Macaca mulatta: one gene and its partner. The protein of the gene in region 2 binds, or shares a complex with, the protein of the main gene of each other region. Links are inferred from orthologs where the notes say so. Each region holds a gene or a part of one and is shown on either strand. Other genes may lie near its edges.

Region 1 (2,829 bases), on a different chromosome or scaffold from region 2:
TTTAGTGGAAAGGTGCTCTTAAATTTTGGAGCAAGGCCTGTTATGGCTTTAGAGTGCAAAGAAAAGTCATGGAGAATGTGATCTCAGTCTTGTCTTAAGATGGTGCCACACTACAGCAGGCACAGGACAAAGAACTGAATTTGGATGATGGTGGCAGCAATAACAAGAGAAAAGATGCAAGGCTGTGTGAGGGGAAAATCAGGAATTGGTCTACATGCAAAGGGTAAAGGACTAAAAAGTCTTGAGTCTTGAATGATGACAGCAGTAATGACTGGCAGTAAATTCGTAAACGTATTTTTTTTTGTAAAACAAGAATAATTTTGTTATTTAAAACAAATTCTGCCACAGCCAACTTCTATTTATAAGTACATTTCTAACATTTAGGTATTACACATTCATTTTTAAGTGTTAAGAAAATGAGGGCTTTTCAATCGAGGCGAAAGACTATCTTTGAGATAAAGTGTGTCTATCTGGCGATGATGTGGAATACTAACCCGTTGTTCTCACAAAATAACAACATGTAGGCAAAGCATTTCCAAAAGGCAGAAGTTCATTTCTACTAAATTGATACTATGTAAACATTAAAAACAAGTACAAAAATAACTATTAAATAAAAGTTTTGCTTTTATTTAAAATAAAATGCATTTATACAGTCTTTGAACCATGGATTATTGAACAATACTGGTAATCCACCTCTCCCTCGCACCCTTTTGGGCTATGTGAGCTAGGAATTTTCTGACTAGCACCAATACAGATTGTAACAGCGCAACAGACTAGAACATGGCCAGTCCAGGCATTAGAGTTAAGGACATTGTGGCAAATCATCATAATGAAGTCATTCTTAATTTAGTAGATATTAAAACTGCACATTAATTATATCTCTTAAAGGCATTTAATTAATGCAGAGATGCTACATTTAAGCCATTTGCTAGTTGTGAGTAGTTTTTAAAAAACTGTACAATTTTATAAAATTTGTGTTTGTACATTAGTTACACAAAATGCATACTTCATAGAACTTTACTTCATATTGTAATGCAAAGAGTTGCATATTTTAGGCAGACAGTGATTATGCTGGTGAATACTAAAAGTGTAATACAATATGGTGTAAAAATAAAAACACAAGACAATATACATAACATGCTTATTCAAGGACAAAAACAAATCAAGCACGACAGACTAATAGCATTTTCCTTCAAGGTCAAACACAATGACATTATTAAACATCAGGCCTCCTGCAGGCCTGATTTATTTGGGGGTGGGGGGAAGGAATTAAATGGCTACCAGAAGTAGGATATTTTAAAACATATCAAATTAAACATACATTAAAACACATGCATTAGACATGATAAATAGAGTTCATATAGGTTAAGGCCTGGATAGCTTTAAAATAGATGGCTTGTTTCTTACAGTTTGGCTAGCTTAAATCAGTGATGGTCTGTTCCTGATTTGCCCACTATTTCAGTTTTAAATTCATGGCCCTAAGGAATGTGTGCCAAATTCAAGTTTATTATATCCTGATAGATTAATAGTCGTGCTTGTTTAGTGCACATATTAACTGGTCTGGTAAGGCAAAGAAGTTTTCATGATAAAACGATAAATTTCAAGCTTACTTTATTAAGCAGCATATAACAAACAGCTTTTAAAGTTAAATATTGTTATGGCCGTGGAGTTTCATTAAACAGTATTTCTATTCACACCCAACCACTGGTAAGTTTGTAGAACATCTCTTCATCTAAACTCTCATTTTGGTCTTTTGCACGTGTTGAGAGAAATATGTAGCCACCAATGAATTCATGAACCACTTTGCAATCTACTTCAGTACAAATGAAGGACAATCGTACTTCATCTGCAAACTCTACGGTGACCTGGAACAAAGACAAGAATCATCAGTGCTGTCCCGAATGCCAGGTGGCGGGGTCCACACAAAACGACTCACACAACTACTGCGCTACTTAAAGCCGGTCCCATCAGAAAACACTTGTTGATCCTCAAATAATTAGTCTGTTTAAAACCTAAACTAGTAATGCCTTTAAGTCCCAAAGAAGAAGTTAAGTTTATTGCCCTTCCCCTACCCTTTTTTAAGTTTTCATGTTCTGAAAAGGAAGACTAGGAATGCAAGGGTTTTAGGTCATTCAGTTCTCAAATGGTCTCTGACGATTCAATTAACGAGAATGCCTCTCTTCAAGTCCTGGAGGAAAGCCTCCTTCCTGTGTTTTAATATTTGCTTCAGCTATTTAAACTTTAGGTATCACGTTTGAGTATTTCAGAAATATAAGATTCTTTGAAGTAACATGAATTGATACAATAAATCCAATATGATCCTAAACCAAATGACTTATTAGTAAAAGATTGTTCAATTTAAATGATATTTGTGTACTCCAAGACCAGGGGCAACATGATGTACAGTGGTAAATGTGCCAGGTTTTTAAGCCTAAAGCATCTGAGTTTGAAATGACTCTGTAGTTACTTTGTGCGTGGTCATAGACAATGGTGGCCCTCAAGCCTCTATATTGCAGTGTCTTCATTTGTAACGTACGGTAATCCAACTACCTTAAAAGGCTGTGATGAGGTTTTGAGATGGGGTACTAATGTAAGCCTCCAGTATCATGTCTGGCACAGGGTAGGCATTCAACAAATAGTAGTTGCTATTTCGGAGTAGAAGGGCTTTATCCATTACAGAAAGACAAAAAGGGCAACATTCTAAGCAAATTATATGCTTAGAATTTTAGTAACTGGGCTAATTATGAAATAGGCAAATTTAAGTGAGAAATGAATAGTCAACCATGGTCTGTCTGTACTTTAAGAGGTGGTGGTACAAACAATCATCAG
Region 2 (4,368 bases):
AAATAGTGCTTATTTCCTAGAGGTCTGCAGACATTGGCTAACCAATAGTTTTGATTTTGCTGGTAAGTAATGTGCAAATTTTCTTAGATGTGATCGCCTCATTTTCTCTTATATTTTAGATTGGCAGCAGCCAAATGGGCGTTCCAGCCCCTCATCTCCTGCAAGATTCTTCTCAGTTTCATAAATCTGGTAATTTTTGAGCTCTTTTCCCAACAGGGTGCTGCAGCTCACCAAGTGGAACCTACAACATTTTCTGCTACCAGGATAGCAGCTTGCCAGCAGCGTATACTGAAATTACTGGGTTTCAGTATGATGTTGGTTGGTACGAACTTCAATCATCGAATCGACATGCGCCCAGCCATTCTCATAATGAATGTTTCCTTCTCTTTCAAACGTTCTGTTTCCAGCCCCCATCTCCTTTTTTTTTTCTTCTTTTTTAAAGAGGTTTGAAACAGAAACTTTACTCCGTAGGAAGAAACTTTTCCTTCTCATCCCTGTTCCCCATAAAGGGACCTCCAGATAAATCTATCAAAAGCAGGACCCAACTCACCAGGTTTTCTAAAACGTTCCCCAGTCCCACCACCCTTCGTGGCACCCACGGGTTTCCCAAGTCTTCATCTTTCTCTTAGACACACGCTAGCACATTATCACTCCAGAAAAGCAGTCCTGGCTTAGCCAGTTCCCTTCCAGAATGACCACGTGGTTTTTGGCCCCATGGAGTCCTGCAGGGTATGGGGGGTTCATGGTACCGATTTGCCTCGGGACTGAGGGGGCTTCCGGGAATCAGGACCTCCCGGGCTCTAAACGGGACATCAGTGGACAAACGGGAGGGAGGGTCGGACACGCGGATCCGAGGAAGCGGAACTTAAAGAACACGGGCCCAGCAGGCTACACCAGGAACGCGCGGGGCTTTAGGGCGCAACCGACCCCTCCCGCCCTTCACAGAGGAGGAAACTGAGGCATGGCGACTGTCTCAGCGGAGTCCCGGCCCTGCCCTCCACGGCCTCCCTCAGGCGCGCTCCCGAGCGGGCCGGTTCCTTTGTCCCGGTCGCGCTTCCTGCCTCCTCCTGCGCCTCCTCCTCGCCCCGGGGCCGGGCTGACGCGGCGGGAGAGGAATGCGTTTCCGGAGGGAGAGGGCGGTGGCGGCCTCGGGAGCGGGATCAGACGCGCAGAGGAGGCGGGGCCGCGGCTGGTTTCCTGCCGGGGGGCGGCTCTGGGCCGCCGAGTCCCCTCCTCCCGCCCCTGAGGAGGAGGAGCCGCCGCCACCCGCCGCGCCCGAGACTCGGGAGGTCCCGCCAGCCCGCAGGAGAGGCCGAGCGGGAGTCGCGGAACAGCAGGCCGGAGCCCACCGCGCCGGGGCCCGGACGCCGCGCGGAGAAGGTAGGCGCCGGCGGGCCTCGGGTGTGGGGGTGCAGGCCGCGGCCTCGGGTCTGCTGTGCGCGACAGCACTTAACAGCCGCCGGCCCGGGCCGCGCCGGGACCTTTGTGCCAGGCGTGGGGGCGGGGGCGGGGGCGGCCGCGGGCCGGTGGGGGCTGGGGCGGGATTCCAGGCTAGTCCGGGAGGAAGTCCGCACACCGCCACCCCCCTCGGGTCCCAGGCGCTGGCAGCGTCCGGGCGCCGAGTCGGCCCAGCCGCGTTCTGAGCGCTAGGGTCGCGGGCCTGGGCGCTGTCACGTCGGGGCTGCTGGAGCTGCGGAGGACCGGGCCTGAGCGGCTCCTGACACCTGCGGTCTCCCGCCAGGCTGGGCGAGCGCAGGTGGGAGCCAGCGAGGCCACCCGGGGCTCGGCGTTTAGGACTCAGCGCGCCCCTGGACTGGTCCTGCGCCTTTGTCTCTCGCTCCCTCGCTGGCTGCTGTTTTTGGAGCAGCGTCGAGCCGGCCGTCGGCGCCCGCTGTTGGGATTGGTCTTCTCCGACTGGAGCCGGGATAGAAAGTGGCCTCGCGGAGCCGCTGGGGACCGGGGGCGCGGCGGCGGCAGTGCAGTTCACTTCCCGGTGTTTATAAACGCGAATGCCGGGAAGTCAAGAGTCGCCGGCCCCTGCCGGGCACCCCGGGACCAGGACACAGGGCCACGGCCACTTTGCGCTCAGACCCGGTCCGCGAGCCTGAGAGCCCGTCCTGTGTCTAGTATCATTTTTACCGCGTGTCATTTCTTAGGCTTCATAAATTGGATTTATGAGACTCCCACTCTCTAAGTAACTTTCATTTAATCAAATTCGTGCTTTTAAGTCCAAAGCTTTGCACTCATTGGTATGATCATTAGTAAGTTGCATTCTCTAAGCTTCCGTTTCCTCATCTGTGAAATAGGAACAATACTACCTACACTAATAATTCATTTTTATAACAATGACAGCGAGGGCCAGGTTTAGCTCTAGGCATTTCATGTGTATTATTTAATTCTGGAACTGCTCTAATGAGATTGCTACTGTTTCTATTTCCATTTTCCGAGTGAAGAAACGGAGGCACCGGGAGCAAAAAGTAAGTTGCATATGGTCATCGGGAGCTCCTGGAGAAGGCATGGGGTCTAGCTCCAGAGCCTACGTTTAAACCAAAAGTAACCTTCCTAACTATAGTCGTGAAAATCAAATGCAAAATGTAAAACACTTAGCTTGAGAGTAGATGCTCAATGAATATTGACTGCTTTTCAGCCCTTCTTTTATAGTAAAAAGATTTCTCGGAAGGTAATTGGTAACATCATTAGTAAGGTTTCTTTGGGCCAACATGCCACATGGATAACAGGTGGATAGAATTGCTAGGTTATTTTGTTTTGTTTTGAGACAGGGTCTCTGTCGCCCAGGCTGGAGTGCAGAGGAGCTATCACAGCTCACTGCAGCCTCAGCCTCTCGTGCTTAAGTTATTTTTCCACCTCAGCCACCTGAGTAGCTGGAACGACAGGCGCCTGCCACCATGCCCGGCTAATTTTTTAATTTTTTGTAGAGACAGGATTTCACTATGCTGCCCAGGCTGGCCTCAAACTCCTAGGCTCAAGCAGTCCTCTCTCCTAGAGCTCCCAAAGTGTTGGGATTACAGACTTGAGCCCCCTGAGCCTGGCCCTTAGGTTATTATTATTTTTCTTATTGTACTTCTGATGCTACAAAAATAACGTTCTAGAGGAATTTAGACATCTTTCTTAAACCACATATGCCCTTTACGATAGGGTATACAATAGGCCACTTTTAGAAATGATTAAGGAACTTTAGTTGGCAGTTACCTGTTCATTTGTGGACATCAAGGCCCAGAGGGGTCAGGACTTAGAGTCTCACTGTAATTCTCATATTTTTAAATAATGTTGGCTCATTGATCAATATTATATAAGTGACTGAAGATGGTGAAGTGTTAAATAAAAAACATTGGTATTTTGATTACAGGCATTTGGGGGGAAAGCCATTTTATTTATCCCAAAATTGAGTATGAAGGTGGAAGATGTTATTAGAATACTAGCTAAAAGGACAAAGAATGTGGTTAATAGCTTAATTCTGTAAAAAGGAAGCAAATAGACTGTTTAACTCATCTATGTTGACTTCAGACCTAGACCTACAATTTTATGTGATTTTCCTAACAATGTAAAGTTCTGTATTAAAGTTATTTTTGAATACCTTCAACATTCTGTACATGAAATGCATGGAATCAACAATTCTGAAAGTCACTGCATTTAGTAATTTTAACAATTAGGCAGCTTTCTTCTTAGCTTTCTGGTCAGTATAATTTAATTTAAATCAGCCCCAAATTACCATCACGAATGAAAATGTAGTTCTACATTGGTGTTCTTCCTAACTCTGGGAGTGACACTGGGGACAAATGGTCATACTATAATAATGAAAAGTGGTCAAACAACATGGTGCCAGTTTTTCTAAGAGTGCTTGCCACTGATTTTAATGTCTTTATTGTTTGACTTCTTGATAAGTAAGTTGTGGCTTACAGCAGGGAGTAGTACAGTGTTCTGTCCGAAAAAAATATTCATTAATATTCTGTAGCTGCTCTGGTTTGCCCTTAACCATGCTGCTAGTGTGATAAGCTGAAACATCTTGTAAAAGTTTCAGAGAGCTTTCAAGTTCCGAGAACTTAACTTTTCTGAGTATGTAACAAGCTACATATATCTGAAAGGATTCATTTGGACTTTTGTCAGATTTTAGCAGATTTTCTCACTCTACGAGAGAGTTAGGATCTGTTAGGTTGTGGGTGGAATCCTAGAGATTATGCCAGGTAAATATGTAAGTGTCTGTATTGTATTAGCAGTGTTTACTCTGACTTGGTTTTAGGTTCTGAGAATTTGGCTGGTTGTTTTTTCAGAGGTGGGAAGTGTGGAGTAGAGAGGTTAAGATACAGAAAGGTACCTTCGTCTTCTGAATCCTGAAGTGTCATGCTAGGG

The links.
Region 1: the proteins of ITGB1 (region 2) and FERMT2 are in contact, whole or in part, in a crystal structure (PDB 8TEE), measured with the Mus musculus proteins. The link is inferred for Macaca mulatta from reciprocal best matches to the Homo sapiens genes ITGB1 and FERMT2. Residues at the interface, in NP_034708.1 of Mus musculus: Ala786, Val787, Thr788, Thr789, Val790, Val791, Asn792, Pro793, Tyr795, Glu796, Gly797; in NP_666166.2 of Mus musculus: Phe609, Ser610, Asn611, Met612, Lys613, Gln614, Trp615, Asn616, Val617, Asn618, Trp619, Glu620, Ala629, Asp630, His647, Ile654, Ser657, Thr658, Lys674, Leu675, Ser677, Gly678.

The regions. Positions count from the first base shown.
Region 1 is NC_133412.1:125,994,722-125,997,550, forward strand, and holds the end of FERMT2 (fermitin family homolog 2), read right to left. Parts: intron 1,866-2,829; coding exon 1,692-1,865; 3' UTR 666-1,691; downstream 1-665. UniProt on the Homo sapiens protein: Scaffolding protein that enhances integrin activation mediated by TLN1 and/or TLN2, but activates integrins only weakly by itself. Binds to membranes enriched in phosphoinositides.
Region 2 is NC_133414.1:34,341,850-34,346,217, reverse strand, and holds the start of ITGB1 (integrin beta-1), read left to right. Parts: upstream 1-1,258; 5' UTR 1,259-1,380; intron 1,381-4,368.